3 linked regions of the Oreochromis niloticus genome follow. The protein of the gene in region 2 purifies or fractionates together with the protein of the main gene of each other region. This does not show direct contact. Links are inferred from orthologs where the notes say so. Each region holds a gene or a part of one and is shown on either strand. Other genes may lie near its edges.

Evidence for each region.
Region 1: the proteins of pfdn6 (region 2) and pfdn1 purify together in Homo sapiens (affinity purification with mass spectrometry; 6 studies listed by BioGRID and IntAct, with this or other methods). This does not show direct contact. The link is inferred for Oreochromis niloticus from reciprocal best matches to the Homo sapiens genes PFDN6 and PFDN1.
Region 3: the proteins of pfdn6 (region 2) and pfdn5 purify together in Homo sapiens (affinity purification with mass spectrometry; 5 studies listed by BioGRID and IntAct, with this or other methods). This does not show direct contact. The link is inferred for Oreochromis niloticus from reciprocal best matches to the Homo sapiens genes PFDN6 and PFDN5.

The regions. Positions count from the first base shown.
Region 1 is NC_031975.2:33,670,616-33,677,967, forward strand, and holds pfdn1 (prefoldin subunit 1), read left to right. Parts: upstream 1-4,325; 5' UTR 4,326-4,449; coding exon 4,450-4,482; intron 4,483-4,867; coding exon 4,868-5,034; intron 5,035-5,120; coding exon 5,121-5,205; intron 5,206-6,588; coding exon 6,589-6,672; 3' UTR 6,673-6,777; downstream 6,778-7,352. UniProt on the Homo sapiens protein: Binds specifically to cytosolic chaperonin (c-CPN) and transfers target proteins to it. Binds to nascent polypeptide chain and promotes folding in an environment in which there are many competing pathways for nonnative proteins.
Region 2 is NC_031966.2:32,024,209-32,031,686, reverse strand, and holds pfdn6 (prefoldin subunit 6), read left to right. Parts: upstream 1-4,451; 5' UTR 4,452-4,595; coding exon 4,596-4,659; intron 4,660-4,862; coding exon 4,863-4,933; intron 4,934-5,058; coding exon 5,059-5,183; intron 5,184-7,195; coding exon 7,196-7,316; 3' UTR 7,317-7,466; downstream 7,467-7,478. Other genes in the region: mmgt1 (ER membrane protein complex subunit 5), read right to left, coding at 2,287-2,443, 3,525-3,628, 3,732-3,784, 4,134-4,281. UniProt on the Homo sapiens protein: Binds specifically to cytosolic chaperonin (c-CPN) and transfers target proteins to it. Binds to nascent polypeptide chain and promotes folding in an environment in which there are many competing pathways for nonnative proteins.
Region 3 is NC_031970.2:23,616,723-23,624,445, forward strand, and holds the start of pfdn5 (prefoldin subunit 5), read left to right. Parts: upstream 1-4,648; 5' UTR 4,649-4,740; coding exon 4,741-4,806; intron 4,807-5,045; coding exon 5,046-5,148; intron 5,149-5,949; coding exon 5,950-5,981; intron 5,982-6,098; coding exon 6,099-6,173; intron 6,174-6,277; coding exon 6,278-6,383; intron 6,384-7,723. Other genes in the region: espl1 (separin), read left to right, coding at 43-192, 292-459, 613-717, 916-1,031, 1,115-1,198, 2,115-2,279, 2,814-3,015. UniProt on the Homo sapiens protein: Binds specifically to cytosolic chaperonin (c-CPN) and transfers target proteins to it. Binds to nascent polypeptide chain and promotes folding in an environment in which there are many competing pathways for nonnative proteins.

The sequences.
Region 1 (7,352 bases), on a different chromosome or scaffold from region 2:
TGGGTATAGAGTGTGGGTATAAATATGGGTATAAATTAATACTTTAGCAGCAAAGGGCATGATGACCAGCACTGATAAAGTGACAGTGTCAATAAGTGTTAAGTAGTGGTTAAGGTGCTACAATAACAGTTCTTGTCCATTATGCATTAAGAAGTCTCACAGCTTCTGGAATGAAGCTGTTTCTCAGTCTGGTGGTTTTGCATTTTTGCTCCTCAGCCTCCTGCCTGAGGGGCGTGGGACAAAGAGTGGGTATGCTGGGTGAGTGGGGTCCTTCATGATACAGGTGGCCCTCTTCCTGCATCCGGAGGTGTATATGTCTGTGACAGTTGGGAGGCTGCCTCCGACAACTCTCTGTGCAGCCTTCACCACCCTCTGTAGAGCTTTCCTCTCTGCCACAATGCAGTTTCCGTGCTTCCGAGGCGGCCTCCTCTGCTCCTTCACCTCCATGTTCATCAAGTCTGCTCCATACTGCTCCATACACCGCTCTCTCCCACTTCATCCAGCTTACACCACAGTTCCTGTCTCTCCTCTGACCTTTGACCCGTGGGGGTCTGACTCTGACTCATGATGCTGTCTCACGCCCAGTTTGAGTCCTCCTGGCCTCGCTTCCTTTCCTCCTGCTCTCTCACCTCCTCCTCCTTCTCCTCATTAGCAGCTCTCTCTCTTTAAAATCACACCTCCTACATTTAAGGCTCCTCTCTCACCTCCTGTTCCGTGGCTTCAGTGTCAAGTAGCAGTAGAGGGATTTCAGACGATGATAAAATGGATATATATTGGACAAAAGTTGGAAAGAGTAGGAAGGTAGGGCTGAGGAAGGACAAGTTGAAATTCACTCTAACAGGGAAGCGGGTACTTGAAGAGGAAGATGTGAGACGAGCAGGGGCGGATCTAGAAGGGTGGCATGGGGTGGCAAGTGCCACCCTAAAATGATCCCTTGCCACCCCAAGTGCCACCCCAGTTTTGCATATGACAGTGTTGTTTATTAAAATAAGATAGCATTAACAGTTTGAGCGTAGTTACAGTCAACAGTGAATGTAAATGCTAAAACTGAATATACTGCATAGTGTCCCCCCCCTCCACCATTAACAAATGGTTCAGCCCATAGCAGGAGCGGCGTTTTTCTTGTTGTCAGCAGCAAGCGATGCTTATGATTGTGCCAGAGCACATTTTGAACAACACCATGGGAATTTCGGATTTTACACAGGTGGTTGGATGTTACACTCTGGAAATGGAAGGAAGGTGAGTGTTATTAACCCTCTGTGGTCCACGGACACGCTGCACCTCCAAATCACATGACTGATGTAAGCTGACACAGCAACAAGCTGCAGCCACGCTGAGTCTCTATTTCAACCCACATTGAAAGTTCGGACTTCAAAGTTTTAAAATTTTAATTACAGGCCAGTAAATCCAGAGTTATGATAATATATATAAGCCACGCTTTTTTCTAAATACTGTCGTCACGTTTTTGTGTGTGTGTGTTTTAAGCGTTTTCTAAGGAAAGCGCGAAAACAGTAAAGAAAGGAAAGAAAGCCACCTCTTTCCTATCGGTGGAAAAATGCACCATGTCGACCAATTTAAAAAAAGTCAACACGTGGGATTTGGTTGTTTAGGAAGAGGGGAGAGTTTTGGGAGTGACGGTAACGGCAGCGAGACAGAGCGAGCGAGTGAGAGAGAGAGAGCGAGAGAGTTTTTAGATGTGGGAGATTTGTGATGTTTAGTGTGGAGTGTATAGTTAGTGTGTTGTGTTGTCTTGTGTAGTTGTTCTGTTGTGTAGTCGTTGTTTTGTTTTGTGTGTCAGTGAGGGCACTAATGAAGGTCACAAAGGCACATTTGCAACGTAAACACTGTCACTAAGTAGAAAACCAGCGGAGTGATACACCTGCTGTTGTCAGGTCTGCAGGTTTATCCCTGTGCTGTTCTCCTCTGTCTTTTGGTGGAAAAACTTTCTTTTACTGGCACACATCATTTGTGGGGAATCTTATTGCGAAACCTGATTGTTCTTGAGGCTTGAGCACCTGCCCCTTTCCTGATGGGTGCCCAAAGTGCCCTTTTGTTGAGGCAATTTTTTTTTTAATTTTTAATTTATTTTTTTTTAAATGTGTGTGTGCGTGCAGAGTCCTGTCTGTGCCCCTCAACAATAATATTTAACTATTAATCACAGTTTTGCTAAATAAAAGGATCTGGCTTGCATCAGTCACATGATCACCATTAACCAATGATCGCCCTTGACGGCAGAACGCGCTGGAACGAGCTCATAAAGAGCACGCGCATTTTTGCGGTCCGGAGCTGTAGGAGAAACACAAATTACCTCAGACACACAGACTGAGGCGACAAAACCAGTAAGTAGGTGAACAGCGCACACTGTAGTCTACAGCACACAGGAGTGTTAGCTTATTACGTACACGTTGGTAAGCTGTCTTGGGACAACTGACGAACTGAAACAAATGAGCGTGCTGTGTGTGCAACAGCGCGACAAACATTACCTGTCCTTTTATTAACTGCACAAGTAGTGCTGGTCATAGCTGCTGGCTCACTGGGTAAGGCTGTCATGGGTCTGTAGCTCTGTCACCGTGTTAGGGAACATATTTAGTTTTAAAGTAAGTTACAGGGCTTTTCCTGCCTTTCTGGAGGGATTATATTTCACTTAAAACGATCTAATATGCATGTCCACATAATAATGGATTATTATAATTATAATATTTTAAAAAACACGCTGTATTTTAAAGAACATACATTAAGAAACAGATTATATTAGATTTATATTTTAAATAAGACAAAATGCTGATTTTACAGCAGCAAAATTATTGTATCTCTACAGTTTAAAAATGTAATAAGCTTTCTGCCTGCACAGAGTGGAAAGTGAAACAAATTGAATCATCATAAATACATTATTTCATATGTATTACTCTTTTTCCCTCATTGCTTTATTATTGTAGCTCTAGTAATAAATAATAAAGGAAGGATTCTGGATCAACACCATGATGGAAACTTGTGCCCACAGTATATACAGTATTCTGAAGAAGGTCTAAAATGTCACTGTGTGTGCATGCATGTGTGTGTTTTATGTATATGGATTTTTGAATTATTACTCATAATATAACATTGTCCAGACATGGCTGGTAAGGACATGAGGAGGAAACAGTAGGAGCTGTGTGAGGCCACTAAAGGCAGTGGATCCCTCAGCAGCTGGATTACAAAGAGCACAGGTAACATTAACACATGTACCAGTTGTTGGAGAGGTATCCCAGTATAAAAATAATAATAAGCACAACTGAAATGTTTTGCTTCTATAACATTTTTCTGTCATCATTTTATTATAGATTAAGTGTAAGAGTTGTTAAGTGTGGATAATTAAATAATAGTTTATTGCAATAGCAAGTTATGCCTTGTTCTCAGATGGACAGCAAATGGAGAGTGATAGATGAGATGAGGGGATGGAAGGAGGGAGAGAGGCAAAGAGTGATTCACAGGCAGGGTCTAGTTTATTTCTCAGTTTTTTGTTGCCTTATGGTTCCAAGCGCTGTCACCAATCTTTGCATTTTGTTATTATCTCATGACACTTGTTTAATCAGCTACCATCTCTCCTATGGACTTTTTAATGTCTACAGTCTCAGATCAACACAGCCCTGCCCTCCAGCACTATCAGCAGCAGGAGCAGCAGCAACCCCTCAACAGCAACATTGTACCCATCAGGTAAAACATAGGCTACGTTTGCTTTGCCTCACAACAGTGATATAGTATGATGCGATCCCATATTAGATTCTTGATGAATGTGTGTTGTTGTTATTCAGCCTGGTTCAATGTGCCCCTTTTTAGCTTTGAGCACCCGCCCCTATAAACGTCTCTGCACGGCCCTGACACAGTGACTCCACTATATAAACACTTCATTGTGAGTATGCATCGTATATATGAGTATATATGATTACACACAGTTTATGAAAGTAACTATGATTACATGTCTAGTGTATATAAGTATATATGTCATAATAAAATCCACAATAGTTTGGAAAAGGTGCAGCGAGAAGAAGTCATGTAGATATGAATATAAAATAGAGTAAAGGTGTCAGCCACAGTGGGACAGAGAGGGTAGTTTTATTATAGTACACAGGGCAGAGGGACACTGTGGGAGAAGGTCTAGAAGAAGGTGTAATGTGAAGAGTAAGATTTGGTCACACAGTTTAAATAACAGTGTCAAACAGACGAATAAGCACGAGACAGGAAGTGTGAATGTCGTGCAGGAGGCATCTGAAAAGTGTAAATAAAGGCGGGAAACATGGAAAATACACATCACAGAGGAGGACACGTGATGGAGTTCACAGGGCGGACACTCCAGTCCAGCAGGTGGCGGTAATGCACCTGACGCTGTTTGCTACCGCCATAAAAAGATAGAAGAAAAAGGCGGCTCTCGCGCGTGCGCAGTGTGTCCTCAGAGTCGGGAGCAGAAAGAAGATGGCGGCGCCCGTAGATCTGGAGCTGAAAAAGGTAGGAGCTCCTCACCTGTGTGTGTGGCACGTGCTTTGTGCCTGTGACTAACGCGGCTGTTTCACACGTGGTCGAGTGTTTTTTCCACAGTCTCCGGTTTAAACTGCCCACGACCTCCGTCTGTGTCTGTGCCGGCGGGACACCGACACCGTCACGCTCGTGACTTTAACACACCTGCGCCCAGGCCTTGTGTCGTCACCGTGACGTAGTTAGAGCCCCTAACGTCAAAGTGACGCAGCGGAATCGTTTGCGAGTGGGTTGTGGGTGTAAGGTGTGATATCATGAAGTAGAGCTAAAAATGATACGGTTTCGGGGGGGGGGGCGGGTAGTTCAGAGTGGGCAGGCTCTGTTACCATGGTGACTAACCGTCAGGTGCGCTCCGCAGGCTTTCTCCGAGCTGCAGGTGAAGATGATCGACACGCAGCAGAAAGTCAAGATGGCCGATCTGCAGATAGATCAGCTGACACGCGTTCAGAAGCACGCCAAGCTGACGCACGCGGAGATAGCCACGCTGCCCGACAACACGCGGCTCTACGAGGGTGTGGGACGCATGTGAGTCACCTACTTTTAACCTTAACAGACCTGAACGTCACGCAGGTGTCAGCCAATCACATCGGTTCAATCATGATGTGTTTCAGGTTCATCCTGCAGTCCAAGGAGGAGATCAACAACCTGCTGACAGACAAACAGAAGACTGCTGACGAGAAGATCAAAGAGCTGGAGGTGCACGCGCACATGCCTCTTCTCATTGGCTAACTGCTGATTGACATCACGCGTGTGGGCATGTTCTGCATGGGGTTAGAGAAACCTTCTGGAGGAAACCTGAACTGTGTCCAAATTCATGGGCTGCATCCTCCTGAGGACCCAGCCTTCGTGGTCTACGTGGGCCGGGTCCTCAGAAGGTCGGGTAGGCCGGAAGTAAACAGCTGTGAAACTGGACGGTCTAGCTTTCAGATTTGTGTCACCGCTGTGTGGGTGGAGTTTAATAAACTCGGCCGTCTGCTCCTTGCAATCTAAAATATAACAGGACGCTGGCGTAAATTCTCGACCATCTCACACTTCTGTTTAATCAGTTTTCTGTTTGACGTTTATTCAGCTGTGTAAAAACCACCCGGGGGATTAATAAAGTTTTATTTTATCTAATCTAATAACTTTAATCTCAGCCAAACCGATTTACTCACGAACAAATAAAACACTGAAAAAATGACAAACAATAACATTTTTAGGTTGTCTAAGTGACTTATATATTACGTTTAACCTGAGTAGCGAAAGTCCGCAGTGATCTGAAAATGATGTGCCGGGAGTTGTGCCGTTCTCGGCGGCTTCAGTGACCCTCGAGCTCTCGGCTAGCTATCGAGCTGGTGGGTAACAGATGTCTCCGAAAATGTCAGCGCACTTTTAGAAATATGTGATATCTTGATAAACCAAGCAGATATTCGAAGTTTACACAGCTACATTCTCGCCTGAAAATATGTTAAAAGTTTATTTTGTGACCCAGAAAGATTAATAAGAGTAATATTAAAACTTAGTAGCGGCCGCCATTGTTGGAAACTGGAGTTTGGCTGAGCCGCGCTATGAATTCTGGGATATGGTGGGCCACGAAGGACACACCCGACCCATCCTTCAAATTCGGGGAAAAGGAGGACGCATTTGTCGGCTGCATTCGGAGGAGTCGACGAATTTGGACAGCCTTCGGCGCGTCGCTGTGATGTAATCGGCCTACAAATGCGTCCTCAGGAGGATGCAGCCCATGAATTTGGACACAGCTCTGGTCTTGTTAGGAGAGACGGCATCCATCCCACTTTGGATGGAGTAGCTCTCAAAATGTGACTATTCAGAGTTGGGACCAGGAAGCAGAGTTGCAGTCTTACACGTCTCTCTGCAGCTTCTCTCCTCCTGTTATCTCCCAAAACCCCATCTCCATAGAGACTGTGTCAGCTAGAGTCTTTAAAATATGAAACACGTTGATGTAACTATTGTTGTGCTTTATACAAAAAAATGGTTGAATTATCCTGCAGTCTGATTTCAGGAGGTTGAAACAGTGTTGGTGTGTGACACACACACACAGCTAAGCACTCACAGTATGTTTGTGTTTGTGATTTCCAGCAGAGGAAGGTGTACCTTGAACGCAGCGTGAAGGAAGCTGAGGACAACATCAGAGAGATGCTGCTGTCCCGGAGAGCCCACTGACTATCATCATCATCACACACACTATAATTACACTGTAATACACACACACACACACACACACAGTTTCCTGTGTGAGTTTTTCACAATAAAAGCTTGAAGACACTGCCTGGTGGTGGCTTTTTTCAGTCTGAGATTTACTTTGAATTTGTTGATGATGACGACCCTCTTCTCAGTCTGTGTGATCTGATGAATTAAACCAGCAGACGATCATGTGACTGTATGGAATTACGTTTGCCCAAAGGAGGCGGGGTCATAATGTGATTGGTCACTTTGAATCCTTTAAAACAGAAGGATTCAAAGAGCTGATCTGAGGTCTGTGCCCTGAGGTTGATCAAGAAGCATGCATCAGGGTCCAGCAATTATAACTTACTACAGACATTTAAAGCTGCACGTGTAATTGCACCATGAGTGGATGCAGCGCTAAGAACAGGCCCTATATTTCTCTGGTTTTACGATGTCCTCAGTGTTGAGGTGATAAATCAGCACATAACTGAGCAGCAGCAGAAATAACAGCTGCAGGTAAACGGTGACCTGATTCATTTGGTCAGAGATTCATCCAAATAGGAAAAATCCTCTAAACCCTGAACGTCAGAGGTCAAAGGTCCGATAAGCTGCCGGTGTAACATGAAGCTGAAAGAAACGCACATTTTCCTGGACAGGTGAGTGACATCAGAGCCCCA
Region 2 (7,478 bases):
GGCCTGGTAACGAACTAATCATGTGATTCAGGTGTGTTGACCCAGGGTGAGATCTAAAACCTGCAGGGACACCGGCCCTCCTGGACTGAGATTGCCCACCCCTGTTCTAGCATGAAGTTGGTGTTTTTTTTAAAGACTCAGTTGATGAGCACACAGCTCGCTTACTTTCATCTTTCATTCTTTTTTTCAAGCAGTTTTGGTTTAACCTCCATAAAGTCTCTAGAGTCTGTGTTTCTTTTGTAAAGCCTCAACTTTAAACTGAGCAAATGCTGCAGACGCAACACTTTCCGTGTGTCTGACAGAGTGATGAAGTTGTGGAGCAGAGCTCTGCGACGCACACGGCAGCTGGACCTATTTTCTTTGTGACCCTTTGTCATTGATTACAACACAATGTAATTTTACAAAAGCCTGCAAACGCTGGAATTGCATATACACTCAGCAGCCACTTTATTAGGCACACCTGTTCAACTGCTTGTTATTGGAGATGTTTTGCGAGCCAATCACACATCAGCAACTCCGCAAATTTAAGCATGTAGACGTGGTCAAAACGACCTCCTGAAGTTCAAACTGAGCGTCAGAATGAGGAAGTAAAGTGATTTCAGTGACTTTAGCCGCGGCATGGTTGTTGGTCCCAGCCGGGCTGGTTTGAATATTTTACAAACTGCTGATGTGCTGGGATTTTTCCTCACACAACCATCAATGTTCTAAAAAGAGAATATATCCAGTGAGCAGCAGCTCTCTGGCTCTGCAACAGTAACTCAGCTAACCACTCGTAACAACCAGGCTATGCAGAAGAGCATCTCTGAATAACACATTGAACTTTAAAGCAGATGGGCTACAACAGCAGAAGACCACACTGGGTGCTGCGAGGGTGTAATGATATGGGGGATATTTTCCTGGCACACTTCAGGCTCCTTAGTATCAACTAAATTTCTCTACAACCACAAAGACAGTACAACACCTGACCTTCTTTTTACTTCTCTGTAACAAAGCGAGCATCACATCTGTAGAGCTGTCTCAGCATGAACAACCTACATCCAACCTTATGGTGCAGCTCATAAACTTGATCCCTGTGTACTTAGTGCAGCTCTGCACATCACCCTTGTTCTTGAAAATTGCACCAGTACATGTCCTAAAATCCATTAAAGTCTCAATTTTGTAATTACTTGATTCTTAAGTTTTTATATTAAATACATGTTAGTGAAACAAGCATTTAATATGTACTTTTTCTCCATTTCTGTTCTACATGATTTGTTAAGTTTGCTCCATTTTAACCCAGACTGGAACTTCAGCCTTGACTGCCACCTAGCGTCCATCATAAACAGCTGCAGGTTTTTTGGATCAGGAGGGTTTTTTGTGATGCAGCAGTCCTGCACCAAGGTCACAGGCACAGCACAGCTCTGCAGACTGTCACTATAGTGATTTCATTTTAAAAGCCATGCGTACCAACCATTTACCATTTCTTACCAACTTCTTCCTGCATAAATAGATTATCTGGAAAATAAATAGTCCACTTAGTTTTGTCTGACAAAAGCAATATTCCAGCCCAAGTACAACAAAAAAGGAGATCTGGACACTTCGTAAAATCAGTATGACTTTTATTAAATTAAAAACAATCTGTTGAATATTGATGAAATCTAAAATGAAGGAAAATAAAATTCACTCAGATTAATGTACCAGTACTGTCTAGTCTGCCTTAGTGTTCACAGTCTCATTATAATAGCGCTCTAATATCGCCCATCCCAGTGTTCACCTCATTTCCTGTGACTTAAAAACCATTTTGCTCACATACAGAGTGTACAGAGCATTTATGCTTCCTGGAAATAATACAGCAAATAGAGTCCACTGATTAATCTCATTTCAGTTGACAAAGTTTTCAGTTGCTGACGTGTGTTTGGAACGAAACAGCAACCAAAGCAGGCTTTGTTATTCCCTTCATACAAAAGATATACAAAGAGTAATATCCCAGTTCAGTTCAGAAGGGATCAAAGGGGTACATGTCTCAGTATCTTAAGACTCCAAAGCGTTTACATACTGTATATACAAACAAGTCTGCTTGGAAATAATAAAAACAAAAACTGAGGGGTTGGCACAGTCAGCGTTGAATATGGTGGCAACCACGTTATGGACAGAGATGCATGTTCAGACAGCATTATTAGTTTATTTACAAAAAAATAAAGAAAAGTTAAATAGGAGAAAGATGAATTCTGACACGTTCTCCCTCCTGTCTAACAAAAACAAATCTTATCTGACAATGACCGTGTTACAGACAGGAAAAGGCCAGTCTCAGTGCAAATGCTCCAGCTTGCGTAACCGTATGGGGTTGGGCAGAGCTTGTTGGTTGCGTACAGAAGAGGGCTCCTCCTCTGCTGTGCGGAATAGCACCCGACCCCTGTGATTGAAAAGGTAGAAGGATGGGTGGTTCCTCAGAGTGTCAAAAGTCCTGGGGAAAGAAAAAAAAAGAAACACTTCTTAAACACTGGCACCAAGAGGCAGGAAGTTATGGAGATTGATTACATTTGTTAAATTATATAATCCACTCCTGTAGGAGAGAAGGGACAGAGAAGTGTGTTTACATCCCAATGGTCCCTGATACAGAGTTAGAATAAAGAAACAAACCAATGTTAACACCCACTGGAATCATCAGTGTTGCAGTGTGACAACCCAGTGTCCAGCCATCAGATGAGACATTGAAAGTTTCAGGGGAGAATTGCATCAACTGTGTAACATTCAAGCTGTGATTTCTCATGTGGGATGCTTTGCTTGCCGATTTGTATCTACAGGGTTCACTTATTAAATCTAGAAGTGGTTACACTCCCACTGTAAAAACTTTGCCTATATTTTGGGTTTAGCACTCAAACTAACCAGTTAGCAGATCACAACATGAACAAGTCACTTATGTTTGGCTTGCTTACTGTCTTACGTCTTTAAACATCTCAACAACTGCTTAGTTTATACAATTTTGCTGCTGCATTCGCCTCCAAATCACTTTATTCATTCTTTTATCTGATCTGATAAAACCTCACTGATGGATTAAAGGTGATCAAGCAAGGATGGGAAACATGAGGCCCAGGTACCAGATTCAGCCTGGCAAGGATTCCAACCGGGCCCACTCCATGCCTTTGAAAAATGTAAACAGCCAAAGTAGCCAATGTTCATAACACTGAACAACACTCAGTGAAGCTCCAGCCAAAACACCATCTTGTCACCTGCAGCTGTAGTTATAATAATGTCACACTGTGACCCAAACCTCTTTTGTCAACCCAGCAACCTTCCATTTACTTTCATGATATAAGGCCGTATTCTTTGGCTTTGCTTTGAATACGTTTTCAGTCTTAGGAGGGTTTCAACACACTGGCTGTGTGATGTAAAGCTGCACCTGTGGGATTCGAGGTGAACAGCTTCACAGTAATGTTACTATAAATGTCGCTGAGATGGTGAGCCATGAGCTTCCCCTGTGACAGAGGACAAAAAACAACTGCACTGCCGAGGGAGTGGAGGTGTGCAGGGTGAAGTCAGCTTACTTGTTTTTCAGCTCTGAGGAAGCATCCATGTCTTTGAACTCTCCAGCGATGTGGACAATACCGTAACAGGTCATGATAAATGACAACAAAGTCTGCAGTACAATCTGGAAACACAAAGAAGGAAAACGCTGGGTAAAACAAAAAGACAAAAAAGAAAAGTCTTTGAAATCAGGAGGAAGGCTGAAAGTAAGGATAAAAGTTACTCACATCAATTGGTAGCGTCTCGTGCTCCTTCTCTGTAAGTCGCATGTATGATCGATCTGATGGGAGAAACATGATTGAGCTAATGCAGTTAAAATGAACACCTCGCACAAACGGTGCTAATTAGAGAACTCTAAAAAGGGCTCCAAAAGAAATCCTCTTTAAATGCCATTACTCTAAATGGCTGTCTACCACTAGCACTGACCCTTTCGGGCTGCACTGCAAGGAAAAGATTTCAATCGCTACCACTGCGCCCCATTCAAAGCGGAGCAGAGCCCACCTAGCATGATGTTAGCTAGCCAAAAGGCCCGAGCTGCTGTTTTGTCGAGCTACCCGGTGATACCGGAGACAGTCTGCGATAAATACAGCTACAGAGACGTGTCTTTCGCTCTGTGCAATGAAACTCACGTTGTGCCGCTGAGAAAGCCGCATGAGCTAAGGAGAAAAGTCCGATGCCGACAACACCTTTCCAAAACGACGAAGCCATCTTGAACCGAAGCGAAGAGGAACTGCGCGTACGGTGTCGTAAAACGGTGTCGTAAACAGCCGCAACCATGGCGGTGTAAAAAAAACACCCTATTAATAAGTGGGAAATTAAATATTAAGGGAAACACATATTAATAAGTTATATATAAATATACATGAATATACACAGACTGAATGGTTTCATTTGACTACTTTATTTGCCGCTAATACACGGCCCGTCCCCATTTGTGCTCTTACTTTGAAGGGATGAGCTAATATCCGCTCTAGCCTCTGCCCTTTCCGGTTAGCTCGCATAGAGCTTTCATATGCTATATCATCCATAACTTATTATATCTCTTTGAAACATTTACTCACTCGACAGTACTGTTTAAAATAAATACAAACATGGCAGAAGCCATTCAAAAGAAGCTGAAGGTGGAAGTGGAGAAATACGCCCAGATGCAGAAAGGTGGGTGCTAGTTAGCCCTGCGTGGTTTCTCCTAGTGTGACATGATGCATTGAGCTAACTGACCATATTAGGAAAGCTCGATATACATTAAAGTGTGTCGTTATAACTGCCGCATGCATTTGAATTATAGTCGCAACAATACTTTCGCTGTAATTAAAATGCAACCAGTTCCTCCCCTGATTAACTAACTGTGTGTTGTTCAGAGGTTAGCAAGAGCATGTCAGCCAGACAGAAGCTCGAGACGCAGCTGACAGAGAACAACATTGTTAAAGAGGTAACTATGATCGCTTATTTGCTATTTTATTCACTGATAGCACTATTGGTAGACCATTTGTTTCTATCTATGTTGCGGTATGTGTTGTTCTGTAGTAAACACGAGATCTCATTTTGTCTTTCCAGGAGCTTGATCTGCTGGACAGCTCAAACACCGTTTATAAGCTCATTGGTCCTGTATTAGTGAAGCAGGACCTAGATGAGGCCAAAGCCACAGTAGCCAAAAGGCTGGAGTACATCAACGGAGAAATGTAAGCCATTTCACCCACACCAATGTGTGAAGAGACCTTCACAGTGCTATGGGAATACATCAGGTTTTGGTCATTGGGGATCAATTATGATTCAAAACACCCTCTGTGAGTTTACTAAGTGTAGGTGTTGTGATGATGGGGGAGAGGTGGAGCGGGCGCACACACCGTCTATATCGGGGGTGGGCAATGATTTTTGAGAACATGAGAAGCTGGGACTGTTTTGGATGGCTGCCCCAACAAGCTTATAAAGAAGTAAAAATTAATATTGAATTAATATTTAGCACATCTGAGTTCAGCTTATTGGTGCAATCTTCCACAACAGTCCCGGGTTCTTGGGAAAATTAATTGGCCTCCAAGAGTTACTTCAGAGAGTTAAATTTAAACAAACAAACAAACAAAAACTACCGTCAAGTCCAAGAGCTCAGATTCACTGGTGATTGCACACAAGTATAAAGACAAGCAGCGCCATCACCCACTGCATCAGTAATTTAAGGTGTTATTGTAAAGGCTGCTTTGTGTCTTGGACACGTGAATGACTTCCTGAAATCACCTGTCATGTCGTTTAGTCATATTAAGCTCAAGGAATAACTGATAAGAGTCCAAGTTCGTTTCTTTTCCGGTAAGATAAGATAAGATAACCTTTATTAGTCCCACACGTGGGAAATTTGTTTTGTTCAGGATGAGTTCAGGATGTGGTGGGAGTCAGCAAATCTGTTTAGGATGACTATTGCCTCGCTGTAGAGTAAATACAGTGGACTCAGAGGTTCCTTTTGTGACAATATTCTGGCCCCACTGTGGCCTGAACCTGCAACAGAAGACTCTTATGAAGCATTTTAACTTTAACTCCAGGCTATACTTACAGAGCTAATTAAACCAGCTCATCACCTGGGAAAACATTTGTCTGTTTCAGTTCAACTTCCAACATTACTTCTTTCCTCTTTTTGCTCTTCTTGTCCTTGTCGACATACCCGGGACAGTGTTTGAAAAAGTATTTTATTACTTCATGTTTTGTTTTGTTTTTTTCATTGTTTGCAATCTGTCCAGGAGAACAGATCCATCTACAACTGATTTAGCAGCAAACTGTGACCTTGCTATTGTTGTGTAGCCCCAGGTCTTCCCGCCTCACATTTCTCCACTGGTGGGCACACCAGGCCATTTTTGTAGCCGTCCTCAATATCACCCAGCTGCCTCTAAAGAAAGTCTCATGTTATGGTCAAATTGACTCCATTTCCCCTGTTGTGGACTGAAGTCCTTGTCCAGTCTGCACCTTAAGACAGTGAAACAGGAGCCTTTTCACTGGACTCACTGGAGAGGCAGCTGATTATTGCTCCAATATGTATTGTTCCAAAGTGTGTGTCTATAGCAACTGCCCTTTTTATAGCCACATGTCTAATACTGTGTTAAACACTACAGTTCACACGTGAACGTAGTTTTGGGACAACTGGAACCTCATAAAATCAGAAACAATGCCCGCCCATTAAAAATAAACTGTGCAGGCAGCTTACAGATGGCTCCATTGTAGATATGAGAACAGACTTTAGCTGTGTCACTGTGCTCCCTCATAGGTAGAGGGCAGTCACGAGCTTGATCTGTGTCAGTCTTTTCTCCTCACTGAGATTACATAATAGCAGGAGAAGATTTAAAAAGACAAGAGTCCTTTAGGCAAAAGTACTAAACTAACTTCTTGATTCAGCTTTATTGCCACTTTGTACTTTTTAAATGGGTTAAAGTTTTTGTACAATTATAGATAAAAATAAAATAGAATTCAACTTTATTGTCGTGTCACAAGTACAAGGCGACAAAATGCAAAAATGCAAAAATGTGGGTGTGTGGGCTTGTAATACTTAATTTAAGGTAGTGTTCTTTTTGTGTTTGAATGGTTTGAGATATTAAATGTTAAAGTATTATAACCCTGAATAATTACAGATGTTCAGTGTACAAGAATGGGAATTAAATATTCCTCATTTGTGTGTGTTTAAAACTCAGTGGTTTCCTTTTTTGTCCTTTTGCAGTCAGAGGTATGAGACGCTACTGAAAGACATGGAAAAGAAATCCGAACAGCATCGAGAAGTGTTGTCAAGTTTACAACAGGAGTTTCAGAAAGCCCAGGGCCTCGCTGTGGGCAAAGTCTGATGGAGTGATGTAGCTGCACGCACGCTTACACAAAGTAGTTAATATCATGTAAACCTGCGACACTCTGCTTGTTTCTTGGCATTTCTTTGCAGTGTTATTACTGTGACTTTTCTCTTGATACGAATAAACATTTTTTTTTTTCATGAACCATCACCTTTGCAT
Region 3 (7,723 bases), on a different chromosome or scaffold from region 2:
GCGTTCTTTTAAAGTGGAAACATTTTGCTATCTCACCTTCAGCAACTCTTGAAGGACATGGAGAGGTTGCTTGGATGCTGGAGAACCTTCCTTCTACCCCTTTCATTGGATGCTGAGCTTTCCAAACAGACCCAACACCTTTACCACGCATTATCTGCAAGGGGAGTGCCAGTGGAAGAAGAGATGTTGAAGGTGGGTTTTTTTTTGTTTGTTTTCGTTTCATTTCCATGGATCTTTAACATCAGCTTCTAATTGATTATTCTGACCACTAATGCCTCTGACTTGTCTTAGGTTCTGCTTTCTGCATCTCCTGTGCTATCTGAAGACGACTTGAAACAATTTGCTCTTGGAGTTTCTCCACAGTGGGACACTGAGTGTGATCAGCTTCTTCACACTGCTGTGTCCCAGCTCTTACAGAGGGATGAGCCCCGAAATCATGTGGTTCTAATCCTTGACAAGGTTGGTTTCATAATCTCTGTGAAATACTGAATTCACTTTTATAGCTAATGCAGGCATGTGTGTCACTACGAGTTGAAAAGCATCACTGCAATGTATCACTTGTGAGAAGACAAAGTATTTGCTGCTTATCAGCTTTTGTACTTTTTGCTGCAGTACCTTCAGAAGTTGCCGTGGGAGAGCATTCCCGTCTTAAAGTCTAGCTCTGTAAGTCGGATGCCTTCTCTGCACTCGCTGCTTGGACTGAGCATTCAAAAAGAGGTATGATTAAGCTCTATAACTGTCAGGTAGGACTCATACATGTATGTTAAGGCTTTTAACATTCACACCTCTCATTAACTGCAATGCTAATAAAGACATTCCCATGCCGTCAAGGATTAATGCAAAGTGTCTGTATTGCTAATGAAACAGTTGATTTCAATAGTTGCAATGTTATCGTTATTTCAATCATTCTTTTAGACTGACTCCGAGTCTATTTTGAGGCGTGGTGTGGATGCAAAGAAAGTGTTTTATGTGCTCGATCCTGATGACAATTTAGGGAACTCTCAGGAGCGTTTCAAAGACTGGTTTTGCAGGTGAGACTGAAACATGTCAGTAATTGAGCACAAGTCCATGCATAAATGTTTTTCATCAGTTCAGTTTTCTATTCTCATTAAAGTAAACCGGACTGGGAAGGAGTGTGTGGAATTGCACCTGACTTGGGCCGACTAGAAGAAGCTGTTGCTACAAAAGACGTCTACATGTGAGTTTCAGTTTTATAAGTAAAAATTAACTACAGATTCAAACCCCTTTATTGTTTGAAGATTTTTCTGTATTCAAGATTCACTTTAAAATTCTTTTAAAAAAAGGTCTCCGTTAAAAACACATTAAAACCAATAATGGCAACCTGAATGAACTATATATATCTATATCTATATATATCTATATATATATCTATATCTATATATCTATATATGAGAGAGAGAGAGAGAGAGAGAGAGAATAAAAAATAATAATAATTGTAAAAAATTAACTCTGCAAGCAGACCACTAAGCACTGTGATGGACTCCAAGGCAATACTCTCATCTTGGCAGCATCTTGCTATGGGTGTACCTGTCAGGGTTTAAGGGAAAGAGGTGAGAGTTTATCTATTAGTAAAAATAATTCAGCCACGGTCTTGTTGGAGTAGCTTGAGGACAAGTCTGCCTGTGTCTGAGTGACCCAGCCAAAGAATGAGTCCAAATCCATGTGTGCATAGCTTGTAGAGATGTGTACAAAAATACCCAAAGCTTAATGTCCTACTTGAGGGCCTTCTGGAGATAAGTAAGGGTCAGTGTGCAGAAAGTGAAGGTGTCTGGATGGTGACCCTGAGCTTTAGTGTAGATCGTTCACACTGGGACTGATTTCTTTATCAAGTGGGTGAAACCTCAAAAATAAAACTTTCTCTTTGTCAAACATTTAATATTCATTCTATTTTAAATAATGAGGGCTTGTTTTTCTTAACGTTCAGTTCTGTCATCAGATTTCCATCTTTTTTTACCTTGTATTTCTATTTTTTTTTTCTGTTCGTTTTGTGAGTTTCACTGTTTGTTTGGTTTTTTGTTGTTGTTGTTGTTGTTGTTTGTTTGGGTTTTTTTTGTTTGTTTGGTTTTTTTAAATCTATCTCTCCATGATTTTAGTTATGTGGGCCATGGAGCAGGAGCCCGGTTCCTGGACAGCCAGGCTGTTCTCAAACGGCCGCTGAGGGCAGCGTCTCTGCTGTTTGGCTGCAGCAGCGGAGCCCTGGCTGTCCGGGGACAGCAGGAAGGAAATGGCATTGTGCTAAATTACATCATAGCAGGCTGGTAAGATATCTTTGCATTTTCATCCATGTGCAGCTGAATGAAAACTGGATAACATGACCATATGAAATGCACAGCATTTCCTCTTGATGACTGCAGCAGTTATAATAGCTGATGTAAAACATTTTCATTTTATGCATTTATTTTTAACTTGTGCACTACAAACAAAGCACTTATGATTTACAATCGACCCTAAAAACAAAAATTTAAATAAAGAAAAATAAACATGCATAATAATAAAAAGTAAAAATCTGAAAATGTACTTACTGAAAGTTTTGTTTAAAAGGTCGCAATCCTGCTGCATATAATTTTTGATAACATGGAGTGTGATTTTTTTTTTTTTTTTTTTTTTTTTTTTTTTTTTTTTTTTTTTTCCCCTCTCTCTTTTTTTTAATACTGCTGTTGCAGATTTAATTAGAATCTTTTGAAACAAACTGTTGTTAACAGAAGGAATATTTGGGGATCTTATGTAAAGTATCTAGTTTGTAACATGTCTTATGGTCATCATCCTTTTGATTTTTTGTTTGTTTGTTTTAGCCCATTCATCTTGGGAAATCTCTGGGATGTCACAGATCGGGATATTGATCGCTTCACCAAGGCCTTGTTAGAGTCGTGGTTTTCTGCTGGCTCCGGGGCACCGCTCCTCGACTTCATGGGGTCGTCTCGGCAGGCCACTCACTTGAAATATCTGATAGGCGCTGCGCCCGTGGTATATGGCCTGCCAGTGCACTTAACATAGGGTGCTACTGAGGTTAAATCCTTTTTTTTTTTTTTTAAATGCATTTTGAGTATAACATTATTTTTAAACCATTGTTTTGAATTTTTTGTGTGTCAATACGTTTTAAATAACGGGATTTCTTTTAAATTTTTAAATTCATTATTAATGTATAGAATGAACTCCTTTTTAAAATATAATAAATGTTTTTTTTCACACACAATCTGTTGGTGCCCTGTTAATTATGTAGACGTGAAGCCCAGATCTGTCTCCACAATCATCAGATCACAATCTTTGGGAGTTAGTTGACCAGGAGATTGGTATCATGGATGTGCAGCAGACAAATCTGCAGCAACTCTGTGATTCTTTCATGTTAAAATGGAATAAAATTTCTGAGGAATGTTTCCAGCACCTTGCTGAATTTATGCCACAAAGAATGAAGGCAGTTCTGAAGGAAAAAGAGGGTCCAACCCAGTACCAGCAGCGTTTATTTGATAAAGTGGCCACTGAGTGTACGTTGAACCTGGTGCCTGCGATACCTGACACATTTACATAAAGCTCTCTACCTTAAACCAATACAAAAGAAAAGAATAGTAACAGTATAAAAGTGTTTGACACGAAAAATGTCTTCAGAAAGGAGCCACCCCCCCCAAAGCCCATCCTCTCGTATCACAGCTGAGTGTTTTCTAGTCACTGTTTTGAACTTTGCACCCATGGGTCATGCATGGTGTTATTTCTTTGGAATAAATTATTAGTTTTTAACAGCAGTTGGTGGATGTCTACACTTTCTGGGTGCTCTTGCAGTTTTAGTTTTATTTTGTCACAAGCACAAAAAATAAATTTTATATAGGGCCTATATCCAGCAATATTTTTCTTCTTCCTTTGGCCTGAGCAGACTGAAAGCAGATCATCTGCCTCCATCACACTCTATCCCTGGAATCCTCTTCTGTCACACAAACCCTCTGCATACCATCCTTAACTACATCCATGAATATTTTCTGTCTTTCTCTCCTCCTGCTGCTTGGCAGTTCCATCTTCAAGATCCTTTGTCTGATACATTTACCATCTTCAGTTCATTTTCGACTCTGCCACCTCCAATTCGGACTGCTGTGTTTTAGTCAGTGCAGCTATCTCCAAATTGTACATCATAGCATGTCTCACTACCACCTTGTAAACCTTCCCTTTCACACTCGCTGATATCCTTCTGTCACAAATCACCCCGGACACTTGGCTCCACCCTGCCTGCACACTCTTCTTCACCTCTCTTGCGCACTGTCCATTGCTTCAGATGGTTGACTGCAGGTATTTAAACTTATTCTACTTTCACTACCTCTGCACCTCTCTGCCTCTCTCATTCACACATATGTATTCTTTCTTACTTCTATTGACTTTTATTCCTCTTCTCTCCTGAGTATATCCTCACTTCTTCAGGCTCTTTTCCTTTCTTCCTACTCTCACTACAGATCGGTGCCATCTGCAAACACCATAGTCCACAGAAACTCCTCCCTGACCTCATCTGTCAGTGATCACCATTGTAAACAAGAAGGGGCTCAGTGCAGATCCCTGATGTTATCCCAGCTCAAACTTGAACCCATCTGTCAGCCTCACATACTTCTCTGTGAAGAGGCATAAGGAGCTGGTTCACTTCCTCACTTCTCCGCAGTGGGGCGATGTTTCAGACTAGTGACGGTCCAGCTCCATAACCCGGAAACAGCATCGCTAAAGGTCTCTTAGCATCACGCTTCCAACATGGCGGTGAATCTGACAGACCTCTCCCTGCCTCAATTAGAGGGACTGAAAACCCAGCTAGACCAGGTAGTGTGCCTAGTTTGTCCGTGTGTGTGCGAGGAATGTGTCCTTATAAAGGGCTCTAATCAGAGCTTTAAGCGTGCTGAGAACGGGCCCGGGTATTCAGCCGGCTAGCACCACTGATGCTAACAGTGCAAACCCGTTGTTGTTGATGTTGTCGGCACACCTTAACAAGTCAAGCATAAAACCATTGGTTGGTAACCGTGTGCCACTTGTTTTCTACACGTTGTTGTGTCTTTTTGCAGGAAGTTGAGTTCTTGACGTCTTCGATAGGTCAGCTCAAAGTTGTCCAGACAAAGTATGTTGAGGCAAAAGATAGCTTGAATGTCCTGAACAAAAACAATAAAGGTGAGTAATAATTTTAACTTTTGACAGCCTATTAATTCAGTGCACCTCTGGTAGATTGAAAAACATGTTTATCTCAACACTCAAGAGGCGTGAAACTGACTATATCGGCAATAACTCGTATTATTATATATTAGATGAACCGGTATTCAAATGAAATGCAAGTAGCAGCTACTACCCTGTTTATTTACTTCCCCTTTTAACTTGCCAGTTAACTGATAAATGTTATGTAGTGAAAGTGAGGAGCAGGTGGAAGAGAGCCTAGAGAGGTTTGAAAGTCAGCACAAGTGTGAATGTGAGAGAGACGGATGTAACGGTAAAGAGTAGAGGAGTTTAAATACCACAAATGTCCAGAGTTTCCAAAATGAATGCCATGTTGATGTCAGAGTAGAAAGGTCAGACTGCTTTGAGCTGATGGAAGAACAACAGCAACTCAAATAACCACTCTTAATAACTAAGGTCTAGGACATTCATCGGACGTCCTCTATTAAAAATCAACGACACATCCTGGATTATAGTGTACATGACTATCGCAGTTTCAACAAAACAAAAAAGCAAGAGCAAAACACAGAAGCGCTGAGGCACTGATCTGAGCTCATATGTACAACATCAGTTTTGCTAACACAGCGTCACACTCTAATGATATAACCAGTCATCACATTAAAATGACACTTGTTACATCCTTATTAGTTCTTATGACACCCCGCACGACCATTTCTGGCCAAAAACAGAATTCTGCTTTTTCAGTAATGTTCGCTAGAAATCTGTAGCTTAATTTGATTTATTATTTCCTCTTTCATATAGGAAAAGAACTCCTTGTGCCTCTTACCAGTTCTGTATCCTTTTGTTTGCACTGGACAGTAAGTGTTTTGCTGTGTTGTATGATGTGCTTTAAATTAAGTCATGGTTATCTTGAGCTATGCATGTTTGTCCTTGACATTCCTGTTACTCAGATGTATGTCCCTGGGACATTAAATGATGTGGAACACGTTTTAGTGGATGTGGGGACAGGATACTATGTTGAAAAGGTAAAAAAAAATTGCAATTTGAAAAGCCATGAGTGGATTATAATGAAACAAAATGTTTAAATGTGTTTGAGTCGTGTTGAAATTTCTCCTTTTTGTCTCTGCAGAACGTGGAAGACTCAAAGGCATTCTTTAAGCGCAAAATAGACTTCCTCACAAAGCAGATAGAGAAAATTCAGCCAGCCCTACAGGAAAAGCATGCCATGAAACAAGGTAACTTCCTTATCTCGGTGCACCATCATACCATGTGACATTATACTGGTTCATATTAAGCACTGTATGAGTCAGAATTCTGGCTGGGTTGTAGGGGGATCAAATACTTATTTTACTCAATGACATGCATGTTTCTGGACTTCTTATTTTTATTTTTTTCTTCAATTAAAATGAAATTATCCTAAAAATTAGATGACAGCAATTATGATTATTTTCACAACATTAATGCGGAATCTTTTTGAATACATGGTACTGATGGCTTGAACCTCAGTCTTTAAACTTTACCTTCATTTTGATCTCATCGACAAAGCTTCATGTGTGTATCTTACAGAGTTGTGATACTGTTGTGTTGACAGATTGTGCTAAATAACAACCAAATTACTAATAGTGCCTTTGCAGTTGCAGTTGTTCCCAGTACAGAAGGTGTCTTCATAAACACATTTCATCATCATTGACAAAAACATAGACTTACAAGGTGAAGATGATATCAGCTAAAAATCCATGTCCACTCATGTGATGAACCGCGTTGTCCATTGGATAATAAGTTTGCAATGCGACATAACTCCCCCACATCTTCACTGTGTCTGTGCCAGGCATCATACTCGTCCTCATTCTGTCTGTTTTTTTTTTTTAGTTCGTTTAGCCTTTGGCTTTTTTACAGTACAGTTTTTGTTTTATACACTAAAGAGTAGTGAACTAAATACATAAGTAGCTTTCATCATAGCTAGCTAATATGAATTTTGATGAATTAACCTATAAAGATGACATTTGATGACCTCCCCTGTACCCTCAACCTACTACACTAATGCTGGGTGATTTAACCCATGTGTAAGTTATATAAAACAGCATGTTAGTGTTGTTGGGTTAGTAACGACTTTACACCTTGGCATTTATCAATGAAGATGTGGTTCAACAACCATTAGAATAGTATTCAGGTTTATCCAGGGGTAACTAGGGGCAGAAACCCCCTCACTAACTTTTGATGCAAACACACTCATTTTGTTCTAATAGTCAGGAATTAAATATGACAGAAACCACTCAGAAAAGAGTTTCAAGGGTTATTCCGAGTAAGCTATGAAGGGTAATCGAGCTAAAATACAATAAAAGTCCTTCATCAAATCACCTGTGTGAATAGTTCAAATGTGAAGAAAAGCAATGTTTTCAGCTCCTCCCATCCAACAGGAACAGCATGCTAAATTAAGAAACTGCTCAACTGAAAGTCATTTGTATCCTTATGAACTGCTCAATCTTTAAATTTGGCACATTTCCTGCCCCTCCCTGCTGTCTGTATTGCAATGCAATTCCTGCAATATGCAGGGGTGAGTCTAAGGAGGGGCCAA